Linked DNA regions of Mus musculus. Each later gene encodes a partner of the first gene's protein in a complex. Links are inferred from orthologs where the notes say so. Each region holds a gene or a part of one and is shown in the gene's direction. Other genes may lie near its edges. The genes, in order: Rbm15b, Zc3h13, Mettl3, Virma and Cbll1.

Region 1 (6,685 bases):
CTGGTGTCGGTTTGTTTGGGTCACGTGGGTTATGGAGTAAGTGTCTGACTCTGGTGCCTCTTGGGGAGGCTAGGGGTGTGTCTGCTCTGCTCAGCCTGGAGCTGTCCTTTGTGCTGGCATGTAGGAAGCCCTCGGGGAACTGGAGCTATGTTCCTTCTCTAAACCACATAGGCTGTCTGCACTGTGTGTCTTATGGTGGCTACTGACAGCCTGAGGTGGCCTTCCTGGTGAAGACTGTCATCTCAATCTTGGGCGCAGTGTGCATTTGTCTTCCCGGCCGCACGTAGGGCTGGACATCCTAAGGATGGTTTGACGTGCAGCACAGTTGGGCCTGCAGCCTCTCCTGCCCAGCCATTTACTCTCCTGCTCTCCCTGCAGACAAGCAGATTGACCTGAGCACAGTGGACCTGAAGAAGCTCCGGGTGAAAGAGCTGAAGAAGATCCTGGACGACTGGGGGGAGATGTGCAAAGGCTGTGCAGAAAAGTCTGACTATATCCGGAAGATAAATGAACTGATGCCTAAATACGCCCCCAAGGCAGCCAGCGCACGGACTGATCTGTAGTCTGCCCAATTCCTGCTGCACCTGAAGGGGAAAAAGCAGTTTATCTGTCTCTTCCCCAAATAACCATTTTGTAATTTATTTTTTAAGCGGGCTCCTGACAATGAGATGTGAACCTAGAGCTTTCCTAGTGATGCTGGCTCTGCAGTTCCCTCTTGCCCATCCCCGAGTGGGGACAATTTCCCCATCCCCAAGTGGGGACAATTTACTTCCTTCTTTGCTGGTTTACTCTAGGACTTCAAAGTTTGTCTGGGATTTTTTTATTAAAAAAAATTGTCTTTGGAGAGTTGAGCTGGCACAGTATTCTGTCCTATAGATTACTGGTTTATCTTTCCAGTCTGAAAAGATCCCTCAGCCTGCCAGTGCTGAGGGCCTGAAACTCCCATAACAGGACTTAAGAGCTTGGGCAGCCAATGTCTTGTGGGTTTGGGCTTCTGGGTGTCTGATACTTCAGCCTGGTGAGGTTAGACTTGACCCCTGACCCCCACCCCCATCCAGTCCAGTAGCAGGGGCTGAAGGTTCTTGAGCTGCTGTTAAGTCTAAAGGACATTTACATTTGGCTCAGCCTATGCAGAAGGAGAACTGTGAGCTGAGTACAGGTGGTCAGACCATAGCGTATCTTTACCCCGCCTGGTACTTAAACTATTCATTCATCGGGGTTCCAGTCTAGCATCAGAACAAGGACCCTTGCTTACCTATATTTTTGGCAAAGTTGGCAGGAATCGGTTTACAAAGAAGCAGTGTGAGCTGGTTGTAGTGGAAGGCCTGAGGGAGTTGTGTGCACTGTGGTTTTCAGTTGCTCCCTTTGCTGGCACTTGTGAACTGTGCCTCAGTGGGGAAACTTTGCTCCTGCTGCCTCCAGAGATAATGAGAAAGGAGCAACTGCTAAGAAGTTATGTTTTCCAAAAGGCTCGTCTTAGCTATCTTCTTGTGTGGTCCCCAAATTCACTTTGCATTCGCAGGGCCTTACATGAAGCCCTCTGCTGTTTCTTCCAAGTTCCTCCTGCACTTTCTCCTCCTGCTGGTTGCTTTCTGCTTATGGGAGGAGGGAAGAGCTGGGTGCGTTCTTCGACATCCTACAGATGCATCAATGATCCAGCAACCGTCTGTGGAGAGCATAAGCCCTAGGGGCCTTTGAGTACTCTTGCCGGTACTTCACCTCATCTCCTGGATGTGGTCAGAACACTGGCCAGCAGTCTGTCAACTTGGCAAGAAGTGATAATGGCATTACCTGCTCTTTACCCTTGGCTCAGCAGCCCCACCTTCCCAGCCTCCTGTCCGCCCAGACACCTACAGCAGAAATTTGGACCCAGTGGCACCAAGATGCCTGTCTGTAGGTTGCAAACGCATTCTAGTTTCTGTACCTGGACCCCGGGGAGGTCTCACCTGTGTCTATCAGGACAGTGCCTGAAGAATTCGAATGCATAAGATGCCTGGATGTGGGTCCTAGGCAGGGTGTAGGCATCCTTGTGTGTCTATTTTCAAGGGGGCCAACTCTGGTCCTAATCAGAAAACTCCATGGAAGGAAATAGAGTTTCTTCAATCTAGTGGCAGGTTGGAGTGGGACGCGCAACACTTGGCTTCGGGCCAAGCGGCCACACCTGCTCCGGTGGGCGTGGCCCCGAGGCGGAAAAAGATAGGCGGACCCGGAGTAGCAAGCAAGCCCTGGAGCACAAAGCGAAAGCGCAGCCGCGGCCTGCCGAGCTCGAGAGGGAATCTGCGCGCGACCCAGGAGCCGGGTGCCTGGGCTCCGGCAGCCACGCGGCGGCGCCAAAGCTCGCAAGACAGGCCGCTTCCTCTGGTTGCCAAGATGTCACGTGGTGCGGGGCCACGGAGCTCCGTGATAGGCAGCGAGCGAAACTCTCGGCCCGCCCACCGCGGTCACGTGTCGCGGCCGGCGCAGCTTGATAACGCAGCGCCGGGCCCCTCGGCGCCGCTCCCGCCCCGCCCCGCCGCCGCCGCCGCGCCGAGTCCTTTTGTCCAAGATGGCGGCGCCGGGGGCGCTGCCTCCTGGGCCGCCGCCGCCGCCGCTCTGAGGGACCCGCGGGCCGCCCGCCCGCCCGCCGAACCGGCGCGATGAAGCGGCAGAGCGAGCGAGACTCCAGCCCGAGCGGGCGTGGCTCGTCATCGTCCGCCAAGCGGCCGCGGGAGCGCGAACGAGAGGCAGAGGCGGGCGGGCGGCGGGCAGCGCACAAGGCCTCCGGCGGTACCAAGCACCCGGTCCCGGCGCGGGCTCGCGACAAGCCCCGCGGCAGCGGCGGAGGCGGCGGGCATCGCGACGGGCGCGCTGCCGGGGATGCGAATCACCGGGCGAGCGGCGGGCGCTCCTCGGGCGCGCCCGGAGGCGGGGGACGCACCGGCAAGGCCTCCGGGGACCCGGGTGCTGGCGGCGCGTCGCCCCGCGCATCTCCACTCCCGCCGCCCCCGCCGCCCCCCGGGGCGGAACCCGCGGGTCCGGGCTCCACCGCGGCTCCGGAGTACAAGACGCTCCTCATCAGCAGCCTGAGCCCCGCGCTGCCGGCCGAGCACTTGGAGGACCGGCTCTTCCACCAGTTCAAGCGGTTCGGGGAGATCAGCCTGCGCCTGTCACACACCCCGGAGCTGGGCCGCGTGGCCTACGTGAACTTCCGGCACCCACAGGACGCGCGGGAGGCTCGCCAGCACGCCTTGGCCCGGCAGCTGCTGCTCTACGATCGCCCGCTCAAGGTGGAGCCGGTGTACCTGCGCGGCGGCGGGAGCAGCCGGCGCAGTAGCAGCAGCAGCGCCGCCGCCTCCACGCCGCCCCCCGGGCCTCCCGCGCCCGCCGACCCCCTGGGCTATCTGCCCCTGCACGGTGGCTACCAGTACAAGCAGCGCTCGCTGTCTCCGGTAGCCGCCCCGCCCCTGCGGGAGCCCCGCGCGCGGCACGCCGCCGCAGCCTTCGCCCTGGATGCTGCTGCCGCGGCGGCCGTGGGACTGTCTCGAGAGCGAGCCCTGGACTATTACGGGCTGTACGACGACCGCGGCCGCCCGTACGGCTACCAGGCCGTGTGCGAGGAGGACCTGATGCCGGAGGATGATCAGAGAGCCACTCGAAACCTCTTCATCGGCAACCTGGACCACAGTGTTTCTGAGGTGGAGCTTCGACGGGCCTTCGAGAAGTACGGCATCATCGAGGAGGTGGTCATCAAGAGGCCTGCCCGCGGCCAGGGTGGTGCCTATGCCTTCCTCAAGTTTCAGAATCTGGACATGGCACACAGGGCGAAGGTGGCTATGTCTGGCCGGGTGATTGGCAGAAACCCCATAAAGATAGGCTACGGCAAGGCTAACCCCACCACCCGCCTCTGGGTGGGTGGTCTCGGACCTAACACCTCGCTGGCGGCCCTGGCCAGGGAATTCGATCGCTTCGGGAGCATTCGGACCATCGATCACGTCAAAGGAGACAGCTTTGCCTACATCCAGTACGAGAGCCTGGACGCAGCCCAGGCTGCCTGTGCTAAAATGAGGGGCTTCCCCTTGGGTGGTCCAGATCGCAGGCTCCGGGTGGATTTTGCCAAAGCCGAGGAGACTCGCTATCCCCAGCAGTACCAGCCCTCACCTCTCCCTGTGCACTATGAGCTGCTCACTGACGGATATACCCGGCATCGGAACTTGGATGCTGACCTTAGGGTGCGGGATAGGACCCCTCCACACCTTCTGTATTCAGACCGAGACCGGACCTTTTTGGAAGGGGACTGGACCAGCCTCAGTAAAAGTTCAGACCGCAGAAACAGCCTGGAGGGCTATAGCCGCTCAGTTCGCAGCCGGAGTGGTGAGCGCTGGGGGGGTGATGGGGACCGGAGCATAGCCAAGCCCTGGGAAGAGAGACGCAAGCGGAGGAGCCTCTCCAGTGACCGTGGGAGGACAACTCACTCCCCTTACGAGGAACGCAGCAGGACCAAGGGTGGGGGGCAGCAGTCTGAGCGAGGCTCAGATCGCACCCCTGAGCGTAGCCGCAAGGAGAACCACTCCAGTGAAGGGACCAAGGAGTCAGGCAGCAACTCCCTCAGCAACAGCAGACATGGTGCTGAGGAGAGGAGCCACCATCACCACCACCATGAGGCTCCAGACTCTTCCCATGGGAAAAAGACTAGAGAGAGTGAACGCAATCATCGGACCACTGAGGCAGAGCCCAAGACTCTTGAAGAGCCAAAACACGAGACCAAAAAGCTAAAGACTCTGTCAGAATATGCCCAGACACTGCAGCTGGGTTGGAATGGGCTTCTGGTGTTGAAAAACAGCTGCTTTCCGACATCTATGCACATCCTTGAGGGGGACCAGGGAGTTATCAGTGGCCTCCTCAAAGACCATCCTTCTGGCAGCAAGCTGACCCAGCTAAAGATTGCCCAGCGCCTTCGACTGGATCAGCCCAAGCTGGACGAGGTCACCCGGCGAATCAAGCAGGGGAGCCCTAATGGCTATGCTGTGCTCCTGGCCATCCAGTCAACCCCCAGCGGGCCTGGCGCCGAGGGCATGCCCGTGGTGGAGCCAGGCCTACAGAGGCGGCTTCTCAGGAACCTAGTCTCCTACTTGAAACAGAAGCAGGCTGCAGGGGTGATCAGCTTGCCGGTGGGTGGGTCTAAGGGCAGAGACAACACAGGCATGCTCTATGCCTTCCCGCCCTGCGACTTTTCACAGCAGTACCTCCAGTCAGCGCTGCGGACATTGGGCAAGTTAGAGGAAGAACACATGGTGATAGTTATAGTAAGGGACACCGCCTAGCCCGCACCTGTGCTTTCCAGCTGTGTTTGTGTCACAGAAGCAGTTATTTTAAAGATCTGCTCCTTCTCCACCTACCTTCTCCCTTGGTTTGAATTCTCTGCTGGGTTTTTGTGGTTCATTTGGTGGCATCCTGTCTACTGCTAAAACTAAGTTCTTAGATTTGGGGGGAATTTTTGTTTTTTTATAAGAAGAAACTTATGTTTCCCGTGTATGAGATTCTGTCTGCTGTATTCTGTATTTTTTTATATTTTATTTTATTTTTTTGACTAACTGTATGGAAAATTGTCAGTAAAGCCTTTGTCAGAGGATGAATTTTTAATCCCGCCAGAGTCCTGGTTTAATCAGGTTTTTTCGTAAAGAATGGAAGGCTTCACTCAGAGCATGCCGTATGTCATGTTTTTGTCACCACTGCTTCTAAAAGTTGTGCTGTGCTGGTCCTGCGCAGCTCTTTGTGCTATCGGGGCCCAGCTCACACTTGTCAAACTTAGCTGCTGGCCAGCAGGCTTACAAGGCATGGTCCCTGTTTATACTAGCCGAAAGCTGAGCCCGTTCAGAGGAAAGGCCTGGGCCTAAGACCTGTGCCAACAGCTACAGGTAGTTTTGTTGTTTTTCCCTGCCCTAAGTGTGTGCTTTAGTTTGGGCGATGGCTGTTGGACAGAGCACCCAATTATAAAAGCCTGTTTAATGGAGGGTAGTTTTCAGTTGTGTAGTCTTGCATTTGGGGGGAGGAACAGTGCAATATTGATGCAAACGGCCGTGGGCATGACGTGCCCAGGCTCCCCCTGGTTCCGTCTTTTAGTCTTACTGTGTAGTTTAGGGTCTCCCCTATCAGTCATCTGCCTGACTGCCAGGGGTCTTGGAGGTAAGATGTTGGCAGGCAGGGTAAGCGGCAGCCAGACTTGTTAACTCTTCAATGTGCTTCCTTCGCTCTCAGGGCTATGTCAGAGCAGCCTGTGCTGCAGTCAAACTTCAAGCTTTGTGGCAAACAGACCCCCCAACTACACTGCTCAGTCTGCAAGGGTGTCAGTGCCAGGAAGATGCCCTTGATGAGTGACATAGTGTTCCGTGTTGTGACCCAGACCTGAGGTAAGAAAATAGAGAAAAGTCACAGTTGTGATGGACTAGAGCCCAAATCCACATCAGCTTTGGTATGAAGGAACCAGACTGATAAGTCCTATGTCTGGGATGGGAAAGTGACTAGGCCCTGCCTTTGTGGTCTCTCAAGTAGAAAGCCAGATCAGGCAACAACGGTTGTCACCACAGATCACAGTCAGGCTCACAATGTGACGGCTTGGTAGTCCAAACCAGTCAGGCTGAGGAGAATGGAACCCTGGTTAGAGGTTCTAGCCAGGCCAGTGCTTCAGGTCTGGCCTACCCTGAGCCAG
Region 2 (6,019 bases), on another chromosome or scaffold:
AAATAACAAAATAGGATTTATACTACTGATGGCAACAAGACACTTTGGTAGTAGATTACAGCATTCTTCCAAAAATTTTATTCAGTAAGGAAAACATTGAGACAGAAGTGGAATAGAGAGGTAGTAGAAATTAAATGCATTTTCACATCTGTGCTCACAGTTAAAAAGCTCATATAATGAGCTAAATATCATAGACTAAGATTTGAGCTGATACTGTAGTTTAAAATAGGTTTGCAAGTTTTTAAAATGAGTTTATTTGGGTAAAAAATTACTATAGCCTTTAGGAATTAGATTTTCTTATGTTCAGGTGTTATTATTGAAAATTAACAGACAAAAGGAAGACACGGAGTAGGAGGGAGCGTGTTGAGGAAGAGCTCCAGCAGAAGGAAGGGGAACAAGGGAGGCAGGGTGAAGTGGCACAATCGAGTGTGCACATGGATGAGCTGTCAGTATAGCGACCTGCTCAACATTATTTCTAATACTTTAATTGTGGCCTCACAGCACGTTTGTATATTGCTGCTATATTGTTAATATTAAGAATGTGACTAGTAAAAATTTTCAGGTTAATGTATCAAGTGTTTGACTAAGCAATGTAGGTTTCTGGTTAAAACAAAAAAACAAACTTTTTTATGGCTTATTATTGTGCCCAGTGCCTTTTAATTACACTTTTAGTTTTTATAATTTCCTTTTGGTTTTTATTTATTTATTTTTGACATGAACTTCTTTGTTTAGCAGGAGATGATGAATCCAAGTTAGATGATGCACATTCATTAGGATCTGGTGCTGGGGAAGGATATGAGCCCATCAGTGATGACGAGCTAGATGAAATTCTGGCAGGGGATGCAGAAAAGAGAGAGGACCAGCAGGAAGAAGAGAAGATGCCAGGTAACGCACGGCAGAGCTCAGAAGTGCGGGGGGGGGGGGGGGGGGGGGGGGGAATGCGTGCTTGGTTCTGTTCTGCCGTAAGAGGTGGTAAGGGGCACTTAGCTCTTCCCATTAAAAGAATGGTACAGTGTGTGCGTCTCTATTCTTAATTGGCACTCCCTGTGGAAGCGTGTCCTAGGGAAGAGCAGAATTGTAAGAGTTCTTTTCCAGAGTTTCAGATTCATATTATCTCACCCAGAACCTCAGCACATCCCAGCTGCTTGCCAGTGTCCACCATGGCAGGCATGCGATGCAAGACTTCACAACTGCGGTGGGCTCAGTCAACTTTTTAAACAACTTTCAAAAATAGAGGTAGCTGAAGTTTGTTTGAACACAGCTGATATAGTTCCTTTTCTGAAATGTGTCCATTCCGTGACTGTTGTCCTTACCGTGCTGTCTGTGTACATTGCCCGGCTCACTGGAGTGAGTACTAGGACGCAACACTCCTGACCGTTTATTTTAGTGTTTGAGACAGGATCTCATGTAGTCACTCCAAGCTGACTTCAAACCCCCTGTATAATTGACAGTGACTTCTCACTCTCCTGCCTGCACCTCCCCAAGCCCCAGGTTATAGGCATTGCCTGTTGTTGTTTTGTTTTCTTGTTGTTCTTACGATAGGGAGTTACTTGGCTTGGTCTGGATCATTATACTATTCTTATTTCATTTGACCTTTTATTTCCTAACTTATAGATGTAATTTGTCACACGTCTTCAGTAGCTTGTCTGCTTTGTGTGACTAGTCACTGTGTTACCCTTTTACATTCAATAACTTACCTTTTTTTTGGCTGAGCATGTGTGGCACTCAGAGAGACAGCTTTTCCTAGGCAGTTCTCTGTCTTCCATGTGGGTTCCAAGAATCAGACTGCAGGCACCTTTACCTGATGAGCCATCTCGGCAGCCTCAGACAACCATTTCTTTTTTTTTTTTTTGGTTTTTCGAGACAAGGTTTCTCTGTGTAGCCCTGGCTGTCCTGGAACTCACTCTGTAGACCAGGCTGGCCTCGAACTCAGAAATCCACCTGCCTCTGCCTCCCAAGTGCTGGGATTAAAGGCGTGCGGCACCACGCCCGGCTAAGAATGGAAAGGTTCTTCTTTTTTGTTTTTTTGTTTTTTCAAGACAGGGTTTCTCTGTGTAGCCCTGGCTGACCTGGAACTCACTCTGTAGACCAGGTAGGCCTCGAACTCAGAAATCCACCTGCCTCTGCCTCCCGAGTGCTGGGATTAAGTCCTGTTCTTCCCTTCTTTAACTGTTTTACAGATCCATTAGATGTAATAGATGTGGACTGGTCTGGACTAATGCCAAAGCACCCGAAAGAACCGAGAGAGCCTGGGGCTGCACTCTTAAAGTTCACGCCTGGAGCTGTTCTGCTACGAGTTGGGATTTCTAAAAAGTTGGCTGGTTCTGAGCTCTTTACCAAAGTTAAAGAAACATGTCAACAACTTGTAGAAAAACCCAAAGGTGACTTCCTTTGCCTTCACTGTGTCACATGCTATGATTGTTAGTGTGGTCTTGGGAAGGGCTCCATTTGGTTGTCTTCAGAACTTGTGCTCCAGGATCAGTTTTAAGGAGTTATTGATATTATTTCTTAAGTTCAAGAAAAGCTTAATTCTGACAAAAACATTAGAAAAATAAGAAAATGAACTTTCTGTATCAAAAATGTTTTTGAAGGCTGGAGGGTTGCCTCAGTGACTGAGTGTAAGCAGGAGGCATTAGACTCGATTGCAGCACCACAGAAAGAGAAAATTGCTTTCTAACACAGAAGTTCAGGTGTCAGAATATACAGCTTTGCCCAGGGCTAAACAAAGCACTTCATGATGTTGTAGGTTTTTTCTTTTTTTTTTTTTTCCTAAGCAAATAATGGATGACTTCACAACCTTTCACCTGGTAACAAGCAGAGGATGTACCCAAGGGCAAAGTCTAAGTTAAGCCTTTAACAGAATGGTTTAGCTCGGTGGGTAGGGTCACTGGTCTGTGATCCAGGCCCTGCCTGTCACCTAGTCCCTATCTGTTCCTGTGAGTTGGAGTTGGAGTACTTACACCACCAAGGTCTTTGGACTGCAGTGAAGAGCAGCCTAGTTAGTACAGGTAGGACACTGCGAACAGTGCCTGGGACAGAGTAGTGCTGTGCTTTGACTGTTAGTGTTTAGTCAGAAAGTATTTCACCTGATTACAACTTTTAGCAGAACTGAATCTTTTAATGTATGGATATGGGTGGTTTGTTCTGATGTCCTTTTGTAGCTTACTAGAACTTTTATCAACAAGAGGCTGAGCCGATGCTTGAATCAGGGGAGGGAGAAAAGTGAAGGCACCATTACTTACTACGTTTGTTTTGGTTTTTTGTTTGTTTTTTGGTTGGGGGGGGTATTATTTTAAAAGTGTCATGAACCTGTGTCCTTTTTCCTAGTCCCATAATCAGTAAAATTTCTTATTAAGACTACTAATATTGTAATTGTGAACATTTTGTAACCTGAAAAATGATCTGAAGGTTCTTACCACATTCTTTTCACTTTGGTTAGATCTATGGCCTTGCGAAAAAAAACTCCTCTAACCCCTGTTTTTCTGTCTACTTTATCCCATCCTAATTTTTTAATAAAAATTTCTGTGTGTGTGTATGTGTCTGTGTGTGTACATGCACACATGCGTCTATCTGTCTATGTGTCAGTGTGTATGTCAAGCTAAGTGTTTTCTCTTTCCCTTACATAGTTTGATCGAAAACCATGTTATTGTGTCTTAGCACATTGTCCCATGTGTCTGAGGCGTCTGGCTAACACCTAGCTGTGCTCACAGCAGGGGTTCCAGAGGCCACTGTCTCTGCTGTGACTGTGTTTGAATCTTGCTGTAGAGCTGTCCTGAGATGTAGGACTGTAAGTGGGATTTACTTCTAGGCCAGACCCTTGAGTTTGACTTAAATGCTCTTGCTTGACCTTTCTCCCAAGTCAGTAGTCAGTGGACTCATTCTCCCTCTGAAGTCTGCTTTTGGCACATCTTAAATTTAAAATAACATCACATTATTGTTCTTATTAAGATGAACAAGGTACCTGTGTGTTGAAGGTCCGTTCATGGGGACCATTGCTGCTTGCCTTGTCAAGTCATTCACTCTGGTTTAGTAAAGGAGAGGTTCTTGGAGTATTCAGTTAAGTCAATGGTGACACTTCGCTATTAGGGAAACTTAACGTATGCTTGTTTTGATTGAAAGATGCAGACAGCCTTTTCGAACATGAACTAGGGGCTCTCAACATGGCTGCTTTACTTCGAAAAGAAGAGCGAGCAAGTCTTCTTAGTGACCTGGGACCATGTTGTAAAGCATTATGTTTCAGACGGGACTCTGCAATCCGGAAGCAGCTTGTGAAGAACGAAAAGGTACCGCGCAGTGGTTGGTAGGAATAGTATATTTTTCATCTTAACTGTTCTGTGAATTTGCTTTCCTCGTCTCCCAGGCACATACAGGAAGACCTCACATGAGTGGTTGTTGTGAATAATTGTCATTCCAAACTTCATGCACAAAAGTCCATTCATTCTGTGAGCTGTTTTACCTGTGAGCAAGGCTCCTTAAGATAAGCAGACTGTATGTCAGAGCGTGTGTCAGTATTTACTACAGAGTAATGAAGCAGACTGTATGTCAGAGCGTGTGTCAGTATTTACTACAGAGTAATGAAGGTGATTAAACATCAGAAAAGGATCTCATGAGAGGCTTGGGCTTTTTAAAGTTGGAAACTGGGGCTGTAGGTGAGTGTGGAGGACATGTGACAAAAGAAGCTGGCCAGTAATGTTAGAAAGCACTAAGATTCTACAGGAGTCCACAGGAAAACATTGATTCTCTTCCTATTAAATTTCTATAAAGAAAAAGAGATTTGAGGAGATTAAATTTATAAAACAAAAGATATAAACCCTCTCTAAAGATTAAAATGAACACAGATAGGCGCGATGGGAGACCTTTTAGAAAGTCAAGTCTATGTGGCTGGAGAGCTGGCTCAGTGGTTAAGAGCACTTACTGCTTTCCCAGGGGGCTGGGGTTCAGTTCCCAGCACCATGTTAGGTGGCTCACAACCACCTACATCACTCTAACTCCAGGGGAGCACCCTCTTCTGGCTTCTGTGTGTTCTCTCTCCCTTTCCCTCTCCCTCTTCATCTCTCCCCTTCTGTTCTCCTTCTCCCTCTGTTTGTCTCCCGCCTTCTCTCCTTCTCTTCCTTCCTCCCTCCTTCCTTCTCTGTCTCTGTCTCTATCTCACTGTCTCCTCCCCCCTCCTTCTGTCTGTCTGTCTCTGTCTCTCTGTCTCCTCTGTCTATCTTATCTTTCCCACATAAAGTCCTGGTTGAAAATGGCTTTTGAACACTACAATAATCATCCCTTGCTGTCCCTGTCCTGCGTGTCCTTAATGTCTCATTCTGCTGCCGGGTGCTGTCTGTCCTGGCAGCCTTTCTCAACTCAGCATTTCTCTTGAGTATTACCATCCCCCATCTCTAAGCATGTACGTATAGCAATAGTCACCATTATCCTATTATTATTTCAGTTTTAATTACATTTGCATCATATTATGGCTGATTCTAATCTTCAGGATACTGACCACTTTGTGTAAAATATATTTTATGGTACTTCTTGGTTCCTCCCTAATATACTGTTGTGTCCCTCAGATACAGTAGCAACTCAAAAGCCCTGAACAATCTCAACAAGAATTGTTTAGAGCCTTATATCTTGTAATTCAGAGTACAGATAATTAATGGACCATATGACACATTGTGACATTTAATGATTCATTATGAATGGCTTAATTGATCCATCTGCAGAGGGAATTGTGAGTGTTCAGATTTCTCGGTGTTGAGGACATCAGCAGTAGGTGGACCTGGTGAACTCTTCTGTAGCCTGTGAGCTCTGCTCAGGGGGAGGGGGAGGGTCTTCAGCTTGAGACCAGCCTGGGTTACAAATAACAGCACGCGCTGAGAGACAGGACAGAACTGGAAAGCAGTTTTAAATGCTCAGAAACCCCATGAAGAATACTGGGACTAAGTTTTATGTCACTACAAAAGAGAAGAATAGAACAGGGCTATTTCCTGGGATAAGAGATAGATTTTTCTTCAGTGACAAAAAGTAGAAAAAC
Region 3 (6,019 bases), on another chromosome or scaffold:
CAGTTTTAACTATATTTGTAGCTTGAAAAGCAGTCTATGTTTCCACATAGAATTTCGGCTAGATTACATCAAAAAGGATGTTTCTTTGGCTTTAATTAGAAGTTTGAAATCATGGAAAACACTCAAGAATTTAAGACTTATTTACTAACATTTGTTTTGGTCATGGACAGCTTTCCCAAAGTATGCTCATTAAATTGGGCTAGACAAAAAAAAAAAAAAAACCCTACAAAGTCAATGTATAATAAGAATTGCCATGTTGGGTGGTGGTGGCGCACATACAAATCTTAGTTTGCACTTAGGAGGCAGAGTCAAAGGCTAGCCTGGTCTACAGAGCAAATTTCAGGATGGCTGGGGCTATACAGAGAAACCTTGTCTTGAAAAACAAAACAACAACAATAAAAAAGAATTGCCTGGAGTTTTGATTAACAAAATAAACATTTGTAGGAATAGGATTGTATTACACAGTGCTTGGCACACATGTTTGTTTGTTTTTTATGTAAGTGTTTTGCCTTCACGGAATTATGTGCCCCACATGTGTGCCCAATACCCTTCAAAGCCAGAAGAAATCTTTGGATCCCATGAAACTGGATTACAAATAGTTGTCAGCCACCATATATGTTCTGGGGACCAAACCCCAGGTTTGAACAGCAAGCATTTTAACCATTGAGCCATCTTTTCAGCCTTGGCCACATAATTGAGTATAAATGGGGAAATGGTTAATATATGACTTAAAACCATTTCAAAATCTACCTAACAAGCTAGGCATGGCATTACATGCCTATAACCCCATCAGGAGGTTAGAAATTTTTAGGTTAGCGTGGGCTAAGTAGATCCTATCTCAGACAAACAAGGCCAGGCATGATAGTTCATACCTGTAATCTCAGTACTTAGGAGGCTAAGGCAGCAGAGTTTGAGGCTGTACTGGGTTACATAGTAGGTTCCAGACCAGCCTGGACTAAATAGTAAGACCCTGTGAAAAAAATCAGGCATCTCCATGACAAAGTAGTGATATAATTTGACTTACAACTTACCAATAATAGGATAGTTGTGGTGGTATATGCCTTCAGTTCCAGCACTTGGGAGACAAAGCGAGGCAGACTTTTGGACTACATAGTGAGTTCCAGGACAGCCAGAGCTACAAAAAACAAACAAAAAAAAACCCCACCTATACTTTTATAGTCCCTATCAAAAAAATCCTTTTTTTTTTTTTTTTTTTTTAAGGGGAGGGGAAAATGTCTCACCATGTAACTCTGGCTGGTCTGGAACTTACTATATACACCAAGCTGGCCTCAAACTCAGAGCTAACTGCCTGCCTCCGCTTGCCTGGGACTAAAAGGCAATGTGCTTCTATGCCCGGCTGCCTTTTTAAATGTATTATTTTGAGAAAGGTTTGCTAAACTGTCTAGACTTAGACATGAATTACTCTGTAGCCCAAAGCTTCTGTGATCCTTCCTGCCTTAGCCTCCCAAGCTTACAGGCCTGGCTTCCACAACTTATACATTAGCCCCCTTGGCATACTTTGAATCAAGAAAACACTTTAACACTTACGTTTGTTAATAGAATCTGAATTCCTTTTTGAAAAGAGCTCGTGTTTCCTTGTTACAGTGGCTTTTATCATCGTGCATATTTGCTCATTGAAAGTAAATTTTTGGTACTTCAAATTTATAACTTCAATAAGAAAGTTCAGGATTTGCTCCTAGTGTATGCCTCTGTTTTAGTTCACATTTATTAGACTTGTAGGATCTCTGAATTCCAAGAGTCTAATATCCACCAGCACAGTCCTGCTGAAGGCAAGTATTTCTCTTAACACTGTTGTAAGTGTGCTATGTAGCAATTATTACTTACATTTCTTTGTATACTTTTAGCTAAGGCCAATTATTTTAAACCATCCAAACCTTTACTGTGCTTCCATGACCTTTTCATGTGTACAGTGGTGGAGTAAGATCATATAGTGGGAATATGCTGGGACCATCATTTGCTGATCAGGCCTTTGGCCAAGTATTCCAAGGGCCTGGTGTTTATGTTTATGAAGCATATTCTCCATGGCCAATAGCCATGTTTCATTAAAATTTCAGATCCATCCCTGGGAAACATAATCACATCCCAGGGTTTTTGTTTGTTTGGGTTTTTGTTTTGTTTTTTTTTGGTTTTTTTTTTTTTTTTTTTTTTTTTTTCATTTTTTGAGACAGGGTTTCTCTGTATAACCCTGGCTGTCCCGGAACTCTCACACTGTAGACCAGGCTGGCCTCAACTCAGAAATCCACCTGCCTCTGCCTCCCAAGTGCTGAGATCCCAGTTTTGATTATTGAAAATACTCTTTTTTTGTTTGTAAATTTTAGTTAAAGTATGGGTTTATTGTATCATTTGAGAGGAGGAGAAGGTGGCAGAGACCTGCCTGTAAATGTACCATGCTACATTACTTCCTTTGAAGCAGTGAGGGCAGAGAATCAGGGAAAGATTGCTCCCCCAACAGAGAAACGGTGAGTAGTTCTCTGGAAAATCCAGGATTATTTTGGCAAAACAGCAAGTGCTGCCATGTGAATGAAAGGTGATCTAGAGCTAACGCTGGTCAGAGACCCTGCTTGAAGTGAAAGATGTGTGTGCTAGCGATGCTGGACAGTTGAACCCCGAGGAACGTGAACACTGACTGGACTGACCCTTTCCACTTTATTTTCTTCCTTGTAGATTTAAGGAACCCAGAAGCGGCACTGTCCCCAACCTTCCGTAGTGATAGTCCCGTGCCTACTGCCCCTACCTCTAGCGGCCCTAAGCCCAGCACAACATCTGTGGCCCCTGAACTAGCTACAGACCCTGAGTTAGAGAAGAAGTTGCTACACCACCTCTCAGATCTGGCCTTGACCTTGCCCACTGATGCTGTTTCCATCCGTCTTGCCATCTCTACGGTAATCACCTGATGAAATTGGAATTTATCCCGAGTTTGCTTTTGTTCATGGTGTCTTATCGTCTTCTCCTTTCTTTAGCCAGATGCACCTGCCACTCAAGATGGGGTAGAAAGCCTTCTCCAGAAATTTGCCGCCCAGGAGTTGATTGAGGTAAAGCGAGGTCTCCTCCAAGATGATGCACATCCTACTCTTGTAACTTACGCTGACCACTCCAAGCTGTCTGCCATGATGGGGGCTGTGGCAGAAAAGAAAGGTCTTGGAGAGGTAGCAGGGACCATCGCAGGGCAGAAACGGCGTGCAGAACAGGATTTGACTACAGTGACCACCTTTGCCAGCTCTTTAGCATCTGGTCTGGCCTCTTCAGCATCAGAACCAGCTAAGGAGCCGGCTAAGAAGTCAAGGAAGCACGCTGCCTCCGATGTTGATCTGGAGATAGAAAGCCTTTTGAACCAACAGTCAACGAAAGAACAGCAGAGCAAGAAGGTAGGGACCACGCGAACACGCTCACATTCCTTAGTTACAGTTCTGATTTGTTACTGTTTGCACAAGGAGTATTTCGTAGAATTGAGACGTAGAGCAGTGTTTCTCAATGGGGATGATTTCTTCTACCATTACCTCTACCCCACGTTCGGTGGTTTCTGTGTCCAGTGTTATCACAGTATGGTAGAGTGCTGTTGGCACTCAATAGAGAGAGGATCTGGAAGGTGGGGGCTGAAACTTTTGTGAAACATGCTACAATGTATAGTAGGACCCCTCCCCACTCCTCCTTCCCCAGATGAAACTGTCTAGTCTTAAAATATCAATAATGCCGTTTCGAGGAAGTCCTTATTTACAGAATCTGGAAGAATTCTCAAAAGAGGATTCAGAAAACAGAAATTTAAATAAGTACTCATTTGGACCAAGTTATATAAGTTGATGAAATTATCAGTACAATGGTTCTGATTTGAACTATATTAAATTCTTACTTGTTCCCAATTTCTAGTTTAGTTTTAAAATGTTAGTTTGGTCTTCGATGACGATAACCAGAGTTGTTCTTTACAGAACTATTGAATAGAGTGAGCTAAGCAATAGAAGACTAGTGCTGTGCCTTTCTTAGTTGTCTAATCAATCCAAATTAGCTTTTTTGAGGGGAAGTTACACTCTTTTAGGGAGGTAAGATCGGCTTACTGCTTAGTTGTAGAAACCAGGCTCTTTGCATTTGAATTACATTCTAAATGCTTGTGAGGAGGACTGAGCCTATAACAACTCTGCTACATTGTTCATTCATATATTCCTCATTAGACATTAAGTGATTAGACTTATGGAGGCAGTCAGTTTAAGGGCTAATTTATCTACAAACCCTTAAGACCAAGGCTACTTCTGTCACAGGTCAGTCAGGAGATCCTAGAGCTATTAAATACCACAACAGCCAAGGAACAGTCCATTGTTGAAAAGTTTCGCTCTCGAGGTCGGGCCCAGGTGCAAGAATTTTGTGATTATGGGACCAAGGAAGAGTGCATGAAAGCCAGTGACGCTGACCGGCCTTGTCGCAAGCTGCACTTCAGGTCTCTTGGGAGGGAATGAGGTGGGGAGGGTTCCGCAGGAGCAGCAGTTCCTTTGCAGCATATTCTTCCTGCCTTTGGAATGGCTACTGCATGAGAAGGAGTACAGGCTCACTTGCAAGTAAAAGGAAGATTTTCTAGCCAAGCATCTGGATCTGAGTAACAATGAAAGTTAAAGTCTGGAAGGCAGAGAGTCCTAGGAGAAGTCAGGAACCTGGGCGTAGGGCCGGTGTTTACTCTGGAGTAAGGAGGCCTTCCTGGACGATATCCTTCCCTTTAGTAAGAGAAGAAAGTCTGTATTCTGTTGTCTTTGAGACAAGGTTTCAGAGCTCCGGCTGGGCACGCTGAGGATGGGCTTTCTGATTTTCAGGCTCTGGTTATCAGTGCTAGGATTATAGGCCTAAGCCGCTGCCCCCAGATCAAGTCTTTAGTCAGGAGAACGAAAGTCCTTTAGTTTAACAATGCAGAAAATTGGGGGAGAACAAGAAATTTTGAATTGTATGATCTACTTTTGAAGTACCATCTTGATTCTGATTCCCTTTTTTTTATTTTCCCAGACGAATTATCAATAAGCACACTGATGAATCTTTAGGTGACTGCTCTTTCCTTAACACATGTTTCCACATGGACACCTGCAAATATGTTCACTATGAAATTGATGCTTGTGTTGATTCTGAGAGTCCTGGCAGCAAGGAGCATATGCCAAGCCAGGAGCTTGCTCTTACACAGAGTGTTGGGGGTGACTCCAGTGCTGATCGACTCTTTCCACCTCAGGTACCTACATGTCCACACAGCCCGGGACAACCTATTCTAAGCTATATACTTAAACTGGGTGGGGTATCCATATATGTAGAAAAATAGGGAATAATTTAGCAATCTGGCTTACTGATGGGAGCACAATGGGATAGGAATGCTTGAGGTAGAGGGTTTGGGACTGTGAAATCTGTGAAAGAAGGAAAGATGACCAAATACTACCTCCTGCAGTGGATCTGTTGTGATATCCGCTACCTGGACGTCAGTATCTTGGGCAAATTTGCAGTTGTGATGGCTGACCCACCTTGGGATATTCACATGGAGCTACCGTATGGGACATTAACAGATGATGAGATGCGCAGGCTCAATATACCAGTGCTACAGGATGACGGCTTTCTTTTCCTCTGGGTCACAGGAAGGTAATATAATCCAGATATGTAGGTATGGGAAATACAGCAGAGTGAAAACTGGGTAAAGTCCTGGGTTTCTCAGGCATTTGATTAAATGTCACTTAGGATGCCTGCCTCTTCTGAGGGGTTTGATGTTTTTAGCACTAATACTTGGGATTCCTGATTTAGAAAAATGAGGTCTTTCAGATTAGATGCTGCTGCTTCATCTTTTTTCACTGTTGCCCCAACAGCAATGAATGCTTCTGTTATTTATAATACATGTGACATTTTGAAGGAAAAAATATGAAAATGTGGGCAGATAAATTGTTTAACCCTTCCATCTTTTTTTTTTTAAAGATTTATTTATTATGTGTAAGTACACTATAGCTGTCTTCAGACGCTCCAGAAGAGGGCGTCAGATCTTGTTACAGAT
Region 4 (6,019 bases), on another chromosome or scaffold:
AAGTGCTACATTTTTTAGCTTCCTCCATTCCCAGATTTTCAAGTAATCATGCTTAGATTTGTGTGTATGATGTGCTGATAGTTACATTTCATCTAGTAACACCTTAGCAGCTTGGCAGAGAAGGCAAGAGTGGACAGGCTGACTCGACTTACAGTGTGTCTGGGCTGTCAGAGAGTCAGATTCCTAGAGATTCAGCTTTCATGAGTGTGTTACTAAGGGTGAGCAAGAGAGGGCTGGAGCAATTTTCTAGGAACATTTCAGGGGGTCTGTCTTTTTAAAAATTTAAAATTAATTAATTTACTTCACGACCCATTATCACCTTCCCTCTCCTCCCAGCACCCCTCATGCAAGTCTTCCCCCTATTCCAGGTGAGAATATTCTTGTTCTCAAGAGAGAAGCGGGAATCTCCCCTCTGGATGTCACTCCTCACTATCACCCCGCCCCCTGCACATCAAGTTGCTGCAGAACTAGGTGCATCCTCTCCCTCTGAGGTTAGACAAGGTGGTCCATTTAGGGGTTCGAGATCCACAGGCAGGCAGGCTACAGGCTCCGTGGCAGCCCCTGCTTTAGTTGTTAGGAGACCTGCATGAAGCTGCTCCTCTGCCACATGTGTGCAGGGATCTAGGTCCAGCCCGGGCTTGCTCTAGGTTGGTAATTCAGTCTCTGGGAGCCCCCAAGGGCTAGTTGATTCTGTTGGTCTTCCTGTGGAGGCCCTGTCCTCAAGTCCCTTCTCCCAACTCCCTTTTCCTGAGCTCCATCTAATGTTTAGGTGCAAGTCTCTGTATCTCTTTCTATTGGCTCCTAGATGGAGCCTCTCAGAGGACAGTTATGCTAGGTTCCTATCTGCAAATATAACATATCATTAATAGTGTCAGTGATTGGTTCTTGCCTGTGAGATGGATCTCAATTTAGGGCAGTCATTGGTTGGCCATTCCCTCATTCTCTGCTCAGTCTTTGTATTTCTGCACATCTTGTAGGCAAGACACATTTTGGGTCAAAGGTTTTGTGGGTGGGTTGCTGTCCTTTCTTATTGGGGTATCGTTATACATTTTTACTTTTTTATAAGTAGGCAGTCATACCAATGTCTTTGGTTTTAGTTCTGTTTTGATACAGAGGGGAAAAAAGCTGTTCTTATATTGTGATTAACAAAAGAGGCTTAGTCCTGGCTGTCCTGGAACTCACTCTGTAGACCAGGCTGGCCTCGAACTCAGAAATCTGCCTGCCTCTGCCTGCCGAGTGCTGGGATTAAAGGCGTGTGCTACCACGCCCGGCCTTTTTTTTTTTTTTTTTTAAGACAGGGTTTCTCTGTGTAGCCCTGGCTGTCTTAGAGCTCATTCTGTAGACCAGGCTGTCAGGCTGTCTCCAGGAAACAAGATACACTTGCCTCCACATCCTAAGTATTGGAGGTAAAGGGGTTTGACACCATGCTCAGCTCAATAGTTTATTTTTAATTCTGTGTATGGATAAGTTCATGTGAGTGTAGCTTCTCAAAGAGGCCAGAAGAGGGCATTGAATCCCTGGGCTGGCGTCCAGCTGCTGTGAGCCCCTGATATCGGTGCTGGAAACTGAGCTAGCTCGTCTGGAAATGATCCTTGAGCATCAGTTCAGCCCCATACAGGTTTGTTTGTTTGTTTTTGTGAAAATACTTCATCTTGTAATTACAGTATTCTCTTTCCTTTTGTCTTTGCATGTATGTGTCTATATGTTGTGTGTTGAAGAATGTGCCGGGCGTGGTGGCGCACCCCTTTAATCCCAGCACTCAGGAGGCAGAGACAGGTGAATATCTGAGTTCGAGGCCAGCCTGGTCTACAGAGTGAGTTCCAGGACAGCCAGGGCTACACAGAGAAACCCTGTCTCGAAAAACAAAAAAACAAACAAACAAAAAGAATAGGCACATGTGTGCGTGTCAAGCTCAGGTGTCAGTCCTTGTCTTCTACCTTGAGAAAGGGCCTCTTGTTTAAAGCTGCATACTCCAGGCCAACCAGCCGGCACACTTTAGGGATGTTGTTGTGCTCACATCCTGTCTTGATGAAGGAACACTGAGGTCCACCTGATGTGGGCTCTGGAGTTCATTCTGAGCTCAGATTCTGAGACTTGGATGGAAGCACTTTAACCACTTGGCCCCCCACCCCCTCCTGTCGGTCGGTTTGTCTGTGTGTGTCATTGTGTCAGAAGTTAACTCAGTTAGGTGTCTTCCTATATCACTTTTTTTTTTAGAATTATTTATTGTCTTATGTATATGAGTACACTGTAGCTGACTTCAGACACACTAGAAGAAGGCATGGGATCCCATTACAGATGGTTGTGAGCCACCATGTGGTTGCTGGGAGTTGAACTCGACCTCTGGAAGAACAGCCAGTGCTCTTAACCACTGAGCCATCTCTACAGTGCCCCTATATCATTTTCTTACCTTATATTTTAAAACATGGTCTCTGAGTGAACCTGGAGCTCACTGTTTGGCTAGGCTGTCTGGCTATCTACCTCTAAGATCCACCTGTCTCTGCTCCCATTGCCCTCAAGTGGTGGGGTCATAGATGCATTTTACTGCACCCTAACATTTACATGGGTTCTGGATACCCAGACTCTGGTGTTCATTCTTACACGTCTTCATTTGAACCTCCCCATCCTCTACTCTGGTTTTCTCCATGGGTGCGGGGATATCCGAACCCAGAGTTTATGCTTGAGTGCTAGACCCTTTACCAACTGAGCCTTCTCCTCAGCCTCCCTCACTCTCTTCTTTTGAGGTAGTCTTTTATTTTGTGTGTAGAGGTATTTTGTTGCCTGCATGCATGTCTGAGTACCAAATGTGTACAGTGTCCACAAAGGATGGACATAAGTTCATAAGGTATCAGACCCTTAGAACAGGATGGTTGTGAGCCACCATGTAGGTACTGGAAATGAGACTTGGGCACTGTGGAAGAGCAGCAAGTATTGCTAACCTTTGAGCCATATCTCTAGCCCCGAGACACTGTTGATGTTCAGGCTGGCCTGGCACTCAGTGCAGTCTCCTGTCCTTTGAGTGTTGGGATTACAGGCACTGGGCACCATGCCTGGCTTGTAATGCTCTGACTTAGCTTTACCATGGTTTTTTTTTGTTTTGTTTTTTTGTTTTTTTAAATTCTTAAACATAAGCTTGAGCTGGGCATGGTGGCACACACCTTTAATCATAGCACCAGAAGGTAGAGGCAGACAAATCTCTGTGAATTCCAGGTCAGTATAGTTTACATGATGAGACTGTCTCAAATAAATAAAGAAATAGAAATAAATAAATAGAATTAAATTAAATCTTGAGCTTGCGATAGTTCATTAGGTAAAGGCTTTTTCTGCCAAACCTGATGACCTGATTTCTGTCCCCAGGACCTGCATGCAGAAGGAGCTGACTGTTCATGCTAGTTGTCCTCTGAGCTGCATACATGTGCTGTGACACATGTCCCCCAAGCCCAATAAATAGAAAAGTTTATTTTAAAAAATCTCTGAAGAGGCTCGTGAGATGGCTCACTGGTTAAGAATATGAACTGCTTCTTGAAAGGACCTAAGTTCAGTTCCCAGAATCTCCATAGGACAGCTCAGAATTGCCTGTAACTTTAGCCCATGGGCACCTGATACTTCTGGCCTCCCTGCAAACTCGTGTGCGCATATTCATACATAGACACCTGCAAAATCAAAAATAATTTAAAAAGTTAAATGTTTCAGAAGGTTAAGCTTTATATTTTCCCTTCTAAGAGAATTTGTTTTTGTTGTTTTGAATTTCTAATTCTATTTCTGTCAGGAAAAGGTGTCATCACAGAATTAATTATAACAGTAATTAATTAGTAAGCTTATCCATAATTATCCTATTACAGAGTGTAAGTATTGTCAATTCTTGTTATGGGGGGAGCAAAAGTTGAATTTTTTTTTTTTTGAGGAAATCAGTCATTCAAAGTTCAGATGCATGGTTTACCATGAACCAGGGTGTTTGTTGGTCAGTCAGCATTATACAGTCATAAGAGTGATATAGGGCTCAGATACTGTTTAAACTTATTTTCAGGGGACGATGGCTACGAGCAGATCTCTAGTGATGAAGATGGAATTGCTGACTTGGAACGTGAAACATTCAAGTATCCAAACTTCGATGTTGAGTATACTCCAGAAGACCTGGCATCTGTCCCTCCTATGACGTATGACCCGTATGACAGGGAGCTGGCACCACTCTTGTATTTCAGCTGTCCATACAAAACTACTTTTGAAATTGAAATCAGTAGAATGAAGGATCAAGGTCCAGATAAAGAGAATTCAGGGGCAGTAGAAGCCTCGGTGAAGTTAACTGAACTGCTAGACCTGTATCAGGAAGACAGGGGTGCAAAGTGGGTGACGGCTCTAGAAGAAATTCCAAGTCTAATTATAAAAGGATTAAGCTATTTGCAATTGAAAAACACAGAACAAGACTCCCTTGGCCAGTTGGTAGACTGGACAATGCAAGCTTTAAATTTACAAGTAGCCTTTCGACAGCCCATAGCCTTAAATGTCCGACAGCTCAAAGCTGGGACCAAGCTAGTGACCTCATTAGCAGAATGTGGGGCTCCAGGAGTCACAGAATTGCTACAAGCAGGAGTGATCAATGTATTGTTTGATCTCTTATTTGCTGATCATGTCTCATCTTCCCTTAAGTTAAATGCTTTTAAAGCTTTGGACAGTGTCATTAGCATGACAGAAGGAATGGAGGCTTTTTTAAGAAGCACCCAAAATGAGAAAAGTGGCTATCAAAGACTTCTGGAACTCATACTTCTGGATCAGACTGTGAGGGTTGTCACTGCTGGCTCAGCTATTCTTCAAAAATGCCATTTCTATGAAATCTTGTCAGAGATTAAAAGACTTGGTGACCACATAGCAGAGAAGACTTCAGCTGTTCCTAACCACAGTGAGCCTGACCAGGACACAGATGCTGTGCTGGAGAGAGCAAATCCCGATTATGAGAATGAAGTAGAAGCTTCTATGGACATGGATCTTTTGGAGTCCTCAATTATAAGTGAAGGTGAAATAGAAAAGCTTACTAATCTCTTAGAGGAGGTTTTTCATGTCATGGAAACTGCACCTCATACAATGACCCAACCTCCTGTCAAGTCTTTCCCCACAATAGCCCGGATTACCGGGCCTCCAGAGCGGGATGACCCGTACCCTGTCCTCTTTAGGTAAGGTATACTTGGCTTTTGGATCACAAATCATTGGAGGGAGTTTTATGTTGTGACTTTGATTTTTTTCTGTTCATATGCAGTACATAATTATGTAAGGATAGTTGATATCTCAAAATAGGTATTCAGCAGCAAACTTAGAGATACATTACTGTTTGAGTGAGCCTGCATGTGTTGGTATATAAAGCAGAGTTAGGAATATAGGTGCTAGTGAACAATAACAATGCTTGTTTGAGTTGTCTGTAAGTAAAACAAAGGTAAAGCAGCCGACCTCCTGGGATGTGGTAGAAGAGGCTGGCACAGGAAGGAGAGGCTCTCTGTAAAACCTTGGTTCCTGACCACTCCTGTCCATCATAAGTTATGATGCAATTTTGTTCCCCTGACAGTGTGTCTTTGGTGTCATCACTTGCTTCTGTCATCAGTCTTAGTTACGTGATAGTAGAATTTTGCCTTTGTTAGTATTCAGCGAAGAACTAGGATCAGGAAGCATGCGAGGTTGACATGGTTTCTCCTAGCCTGTAATAGTAGGTGATGAAGTATGGATGAGCGGGGGTGGAGGATGTGACAGCAGCTCTTCCAGCCCACCTGAGGGTGCAGGGCCTGGGGATACAGCTCAGTTGGTAGGTGTTGTCTAGCTCACAGAAGCCCTGGATTCTATCCTTAGCGTGTAGTTCCAGCACTCAGGAGGAGGAGGAGGAGGAGGAGGAGGCAGGAAGATCACGAGTATTATGTCATCCTTGGCTGTATAGTGCGTTTGAGACCAGCATGGGCTATGTGAGAACCTTTTAAAATACAAAATGAGGAAGTAAGGCAACATCAGACAGACATGTTGTGGACAAAATGGAACCTTT
Region 5 (6,019 bases), on another chromosome or scaffold:
GCCAGCAAAGTTAAGCCGGCACCTCGGACTCAAAGGACTGTCAGCAGGATGCCCGCAAAGGCCCCGCAAGGTGATGAAGGTAACTGGTGTAAACTGAAATGAGTGTAAACTGAGTTGTCAGGTTGGAGATGGCTCAGGGATTCAGAGCACTGAATGCTCCTCCAGAGGACCCAGCTTCAGTTCCCAGCACCCATATGGCAGTTCACAACTGTGTGTAACTCCAGCACCCTCACGTAGTCATACATGCAGGCAAAACACCAATGCACATAAATACAAGTAAAATTTTAAAAAGAGTTCTCTTGTTTATCTGAGTGTATCAAGTAATCCATCTGATTTTATTAAACCTATTTTAGAATTAGTTTAGTTCTATCCCTTTTTAAGCGCCCTTCCCCTGGTATTGCACAGAGCATTACATTAAAAGTAAAATTTGTTTTCACGGTCCTCTATAAAACTGATGCTAGTGCCCCTTAAAAAAAAATCTTTCAAGTAAGCTGGGTGGTAGTAGTGAATGCTTTTAATCCCAACACTCCAGAGACAGAGGCAGGTAGATCTCTGAGTTCAAGGCCAGTCTGGTCTACAGGGCAAGTTCCAGGACAGACAGGGCTACACAGAAAAATCTTGTCTAGAAAAACCAAAAATAAAATATAGTTTTACCCAGGTGAGGTGGCACATGGCTGAAATCCCAGCACTTAGGAAGCTGAGACAAGAGGATTAATGTTTGAGGACAGACCCTGTCTCAAACAAATGAGTAGTCCTAGATGTTTAGTCTGTAGATATCCTACAATTTATTTTACTTTCTTGTAGATACTTGTTTTGCCGTAATTGTGTTGTAATGTGAATATTAAAAATTTGACTTGAGAAGATGGCCAAATTCTTGAAATGGGTGAGGGTAATTGCCCTAAGCCTGGTGACCCAAGTTTCATCCTAGAACCATTTAAAAGGAAGGAGAGAACTGACCTCCACCCACCACTCTCCATATGTGCAGACCCCTCCCTCCATATCATGTACACAACAAATGACTGTTTTTAAAGACTTGATTTGTACATTTCAGAATATATCAGATCTTGCTAAATTCTTCAGAAAGGGTGTGGTATAGTTTCTACTCACATACTCAGTATTTTGCACTATTAATTTAACTTTTTTTGAGGCAGAACTTGGATAGCCATTCTGCTCTTGAAGGTCAAAAGTCTTGCTGCCTCGGCCTTGTCAGTGCTGTGGTCACAGGCAGGAGCCTAAGTGTGGTTGGATGCCTTTTCATAGTGCTCGCCAGTTCTTGCCTCAGTTCCAGGCTCTGTTTTGATTGCTGCCTTTCTCTTAATTTTGAATTCTTTATAATATTGGCTTTGTTAAATGTCTGTGTAGTTCATTTATCTTTTGAACTTTGTATATAAAATATTACTGTAAAGAACTTGGACATTCTAGGAAGCCAGTTAAACTAGAGCTTGCTCTCTCCTGTTTTTAATATATTCTTTAAAAGGCCTTTCCTAGTTTCATGAATATAAAAACCGCTTCCTGTCTTGCCATCTGTTAGAAGTCAGCAAGCTGGTCTACAGGCCAAGTTTGGTTCCTTTAAAATAGATAAAGTTGCTGTTCAGTTAAGAGTATTGCCTTGTGGCTATTTTCCTACTAGCGTGGCAGAATTAACTAGATTTATATGACCAAGAAAGCCTAAGTTTTGTACTGTGGCCTTTTATAGTAACAGATTGTTGGCCCATACTTTAGAATATTTATGGGTGTGTTTTGTTTTTTTTTTAAGTGATGTTTTGTTTACCATAAATACTGAGTAATTGGTTTTTTAATTCCAGAATAGAAATCTGGCTGTTAACATACATTCAAGTTCTAGAAGATCTGTCTTACTCCTAAATTCTGTTCCGTAAACAACATGGTGATAATTGGTGAGGTTTTATATTAGAGGTGGTTAGTGGAGTTGCTAAGAGCATTGAATAAGAGACTCGGTTATAGGTCTGTTCTTGGCTCTGGCACGTGGCTTATATGGTGGCTGCTGTACCCACAGTATGTTGTCATTTGTAAAGTACTAGAGATGGACTCAATGATCATGAAGACTACTTCCAGCCGGCATTTTAAACTCTAGTTTAAAAATGATATGCCAGTTAATTTCTGTGACAAATGTGAGTTGTCTATTAAAATCTGTGGGAAAACGGTAAGTAAAATTAAGGCCTGGTGTTGTAGAGGTAGGACTCTAGAATACTTTTACTACGTTTTTTATAACTAGTTTTATATACAAAACTCTAAGGGAAGTTTTATAATAACATGAATTTAATATAGGTTTAGTTTTTTGTTTTTGTTTTTTTATTGTTTTAGAGTAGTTTTAGGAATTTTGATTTTCATGTTTTTAGATCTCTGAAAGTTATCAGAAACATTTTTCAGTAAATATATATACTTTTAATTTTGTTATGTAAATAAATATACTTTAAATTGAAATTTGAAGTTGGAAAATGTAATGTAACTTTTTTCTCTCAGAAGGATTTGATTATAACGAAGAACAGCGATATGACTGTAAAGGAGGCGAACTCTTTGGGAATCAGCGAAGATTTCCAGGACACCTTTTTTGGGATTTCAAGGTATAACTAAAAGTGAAAAATTAGAAATTAGGCATTAAGTACTTATCCACTAAGTGTGGATTTTTAGTATGTCGTGACGTGTAGCACACATAAGTCCACTTGCTTGTTTTTACCATCTTCAAAAATAATTTGAATGCTGGGCGGTGGTGACTCACGTCTTTAATCCCAGCACTTGGGAGGCAGAGGCAGGCGGATTTCTGAGTTCCAGGACAGCCAGGGATACACAGAGAAACCCTGTCTCAGAAAAAAAAAAACCAAACAAACAAACAAAAAAATAAATAAATAAAATAATTTGAAGTAATTTTTGGTAGAACCAAGTAAAATCATTAGCTGCTATTTAAGAAGAAGAACAAGCAAATGGAATTATACTAATCACTTTTTACTTCTGTTTATGGTAACAACTTAAGAAATTCTAACCATTTCACTGTGTGAATTGAAAAGTACAGTTGCCTAAAGAGATAATTTTAATTATCACTTCAACAGATAAACATCTTAGGTGAAAAGGACGATACACCAGTACATTTCTGTGACAAATGTGGACTGCCTATTAAAGTCTATGGGAGAATGGTAAGGACAACTAAGATTTTTTTTAATAACTAATTTTATAACATAATAATGTACAAAAAAGCTAGGGGGAGTTTAATAATACCATGAATTTAGTATAATTATTCTTTTTACTGTTTTAAAATAGTTTCAGGAGAAACATGGTAAGATAAAACACATTTAGAGTTCTTTTTCAGGAGCTTTTTACTTGCAGGGACTATTTTAGCATTGATAGGTTCACGTATCTGAAAATAGAAGCAGGTACCAGGCAAGGGGGGATAGTCTTCTAGTCCCAGCATTCTGGAAGTTGAGGCAGAAGGATCGTAAGATCAAGGGTTGCCTTGGGTACATCAGAGTGTAAGGCAATCTGAGCGGAACATGAGATCCTTCTCCACAAAGAAAAAGCAGTGTGTTAGCAGATGGACAGATGGACATGTATTTATTGGAAAAAGAGCCAAAGTTTTCAAAACATTTTCAAAAACTTGTGATTAAAAATGGTTGCTGGGCAGTGATGGAGCATGCCACCCACTTTAATGCCTCATTTAATCCCAGCACTCAGAAGGCAGAGATAAGTGAATTGTTCCAAGACAGCCAAGGCTAAGCAGAGAAACCCTGCCTTGAAAAACCAGATAGATAGATAGATAGATAATCCCAGCACTCAGAAGGCAGAGATAAGTGAATTGTTCCAAGACAGCCAAGGCTAAGCAGAGAAACCCTGCCTTGAAAAACCAGATAGATAGATAGATAGATAGATAGATAGATAGATAGACAGACAGACAGACAGACAGACAGACAGACAGACAGACAGACTCCCTCCCTCCCTCCCTCCCTCCCTCCCTCCCTCCCTCCCTCCTAGCTGCTTCTGGTATATAGTCTTAATAAGTTTTCATTTAACTCCTATGTGCCTCCTGTTGGTAGATCACTGTACTGACAATTAGTATTGAAAATTTCTAATTTGTTCTAGGATGCTTAACTATGATATTTTTGCCTACAGATTCCATGCAAGCATGTCTTTTGCTATGACTGTGCTATTTTACATGAAAAAAAAGGAGATAAGATGTGCCCAGGGTAAGATATGATCATCTTTAGATGTTCTAGTAGTAGTGGCTTATAAGCAAGATGGGTTAAAGGTTTTGGAGTAATGGGACTAGACAAGGATGCAAACGTGCTGGCTGAGCCACTCTGTGTGAACCTGGAGTTAGTTTTCCCCTTCTCTGGAAGATGGAGCTAGCCATTGTCAGTTCATTCAGAGTAGCTGAAATGATGACATCTCTGGGAACAGTGTTGGACAGCAGAGCGGTTTCTTGTTTTCTCTTTTGTGTGTGTCTGGCATACCTGGAAGCAAGTATAGCGTGGTTTGCTGATTGAGAACAACCTCTTTCCAAAGTGAGAATTAACATCTTTTATTATTAATTGTATGTGAATAATGTGGCGGGTGGTATGAGCATGTGCCAGGGTCAGAAGGCAACTTGGTGGAGTAGTTCTCTCCTTCCAACTTCACCTATGCTCAGGGGATGGAACTTAGAAGAGCAGGCTTGCATAGAAAGCACTTTACCTGCTGAGCTGTCTCACTGGCCCCAGGATTAGAATGGTTGAGGTCAGGTCCCCATTTGACTATTGATCAGCTGTGTGGTACAAGTGGCTTTATAGCTATCGGCTCCCTGTATTCTTTTTAAGATGAAGTAAGGATTAATGAACAGTAGAATTGGCATATAATAAACACTACTATTCCTGTTTTCCAATAACCCAAACAGGTGTGTTTTGGGTGATAACGACATCATGATAGACTCGAAGTTATACATCATGGTATCTGTCTTGGGATAGCTCTATAATAAAGTGAAAATTTATATTAATTTGGAACCCCTGATAAGAAAGCCTTGAGAAAAATGGAGTGAAACTTTGGATTAGCTCAAGGGTTTCCAGATCCTCTAAACCTAAAATTGAAAGTACCCCAAGGAACACCATTGATTGTTAACAAAACTATAAACAACTGTAAGAAAAGATTTCCCCTCTGTGGTGCAGGATATGGGCTTTGCTAAGAAAAAAAGGGGGTGATTTGTTAATGACCCAATGACAACTGATTTTCTTGGTATATTTCATTAGGTTTTTAAAGTTATAGATTATGAAATATATACTGTGTTTAAAAGATACTACTATATGTTCTATAGAGTTATAATTCAGAAGAATATAAAATTTGGAAGTATATATTGTAGCCTTTGTTGAAGTATTTCTCTAATGCCTTTCCCAGCCCAGTGTTGTGCATTAGCTTAATATAACATGTGATTGTTCCATTAAGATAAAGAATTAAAATGTAATGCAACATTAAATGTAGTGAACATTAAAAGATTCTCTCTTTTACATAGATTTTTTTTTTAATTTATTTACCTATATTTTATGTGCATAGGTGTTCTGCCTGCATGCCTGTCTGTGTGAGAGTGTCAGATCTTGGAGTTAACAGACAGTTGTGAGCTGCCATGTGGGTGCTGGGATTTGAACCCAGGTCCTCTGGAAGAGCATTCAGTGCCCTTAACTGCCAAGCCATATCTCCAGCCCATAGAGGTTTCACTATTACTATTTAAAAGTGCAATTTAGTTTTCAGGTAACTAAATGTGTTCTAGTATGCACTTCACCAGTGTAGTCTTTAGCTATCTAGAGAGAAACCTGTCTTAATTGTCAAACCAAGGGCAGGAAATAAAGTTACCAACCAGAATTAATTTAAATAGTATATGCTACTGCTTTTGGGCATCATGCAAAAGAAAAGACCTTACCCTATTTAGCATGGATATGTTTCTGACTGTGTAGTAATTAGATGGCTGAAAAGCAAGAAATGTGCAAAGTGGCCACAAATTAGAAGCACCCTAGCTCCTACAAGGAAAAGAGACAACTCCCTGGTT

The links.
Region 2: Rbm15b (region 1) and Zc3h13 share a complex: the UniProt entries of both Homo sapiens proteins name them as parts of the WMM complex. The link is inferred for Mus musculus from reciprocal best matches to the Homo sapiens genes RBM15B and ZC3H13.
Region 3: Rbm15b (region 1) and Mettl3 share a complex: the UniProt entries of both Homo sapiens proteins name them as parts of the WMM complex. The link is inferred for Mus musculus from reciprocal best matches to the Homo sapiens genes RBM15B and METTL3.
Region 4: Rbm15b (region 1) and Virma share a complex: the UniProt entries of both Homo sapiens proteins name them as parts of the WMM complex. The link is inferred for Mus musculus from reciprocal best matches to the Homo sapiens genes RBM15B and VIRMA.
Region 5: Rbm15b (region 1) and Cbll1 share a complex: the UniProt entries of both Homo sapiens proteins name them as parts of the WMM complex. The link is inferred for Mus musculus from reciprocal best matches to the Homo sapiens genes RBM15B and CBLL1.

The regions. Positions count from the first base shown.
Region 1 is NC_000075.6:106,882,919-106,889,603, reverse strand, and holds the start of Rbm15b (putative RNA-binding protein 15B), read left to right. Parts: upstream 1-2,528; 5' UTR 2,529-2,636; coding exon 2,637-5,300; 3' UTR 5,301-6,685. Other genes in the region: Manf (mesencephalic astrocyte-derived neurotrophic factor precursor), read left to right, coding at 379-563. UniProt on the Homo sapiens protein: RNA-binding protein that acts as a key regulator of N6-methyladenosine (m6A) methylation of RNAs, thereby regulating different processes, such as alternative splicing of mRNAs and X chromosome inactivation mediated by Xist RNA.
Region 2 is NC_000080.6:75,335,190-75,341,208, forward strand, and holds part of Zc3h13 (zinc finger CCCH domain-containing protein 13), read left to right. Parts: intron 1-732; coding exon 733-885; intron 886-2,180; coding exon 2,181-2,381; intron 2,382-4,119; coding exon 4,120-4,283; coding exon of another isoform or gene 4,284-4,300; intron 4,301-6,019. UniProt on the Homo sapiens protein: Associated component of the WMM complex, a complex that mediates N6-methyladenosine (m6A) methylation of RNAs, a modification that plays a role in the efficiency of mRNA splicing and RNA processing.
Region 3 is NC_000080.6:52,297,068-52,303,086, reverse strand, and holds part of Mettl3 (N6-adenosine-methyltransferase subunit METTL3), read left to right. Parts: intron 1-2,685; coding exon 2,686-2,903; intron 2,904-2,981; coding exon 2,982-3,386; intron 3,387-4,271; coding exon 4,272-4,447; intron 4,448-5,001; coding exon 5,002-5,218; intron 5,219-5,428; coding exon 5,429-5,616; intron 5,617-6,019. UniProt on the Homo sapiens protein: The METTL3-METTL14 heterodimer forms a N6-methyltransferase complex that methylates adenosine residues at the N(6) position of some RNAs and regulates various processes such as the circadian clock, differentiation of embryonic and hematopoietic stem cells, cortical neurogenesis, response to DNA damage, differentiation of T-cells and primary miRNA processing.
Region 4 is NC_000070.6:11,509,001-11,515,019, forward strand, and holds part of Virma (protein virilizer homolog), read left to right. Parts: intron 1-4,027; coding exon 4,028-5,168; intron 5,169-6,019. UniProt on the Homo sapiens protein: Associated component of the WMM complex, a complex that mediates N6-methyladenosine (m6A) methylation of RNAs, a modification that plays a role in the efficiency of mRNA splicing and RNA processing.
Region 5 is NC_000078.6:31,488,642-31,494,660, reverse strand, and holds part of Cbll1 (E3 ubiquitin-protein ligase Hakai), read left to right. Parts: coding exon 1-79; intron 80-2,481; coding exon 2,482-2,582; intron 2,583-3,065; coding exon 3,066-3,149; intron 3,150-4,119; coding exon 4,120-4,193; intron 4,194-6,019. UniProt on the Homo sapiens protein: E3 ubiquitin-protein ligase that mediates ubiquitination of several tyrosine-phosphorylated Src substrates, including CDH1, CTTN and DOK1. Targets CDH1 for endocytosis and degradation.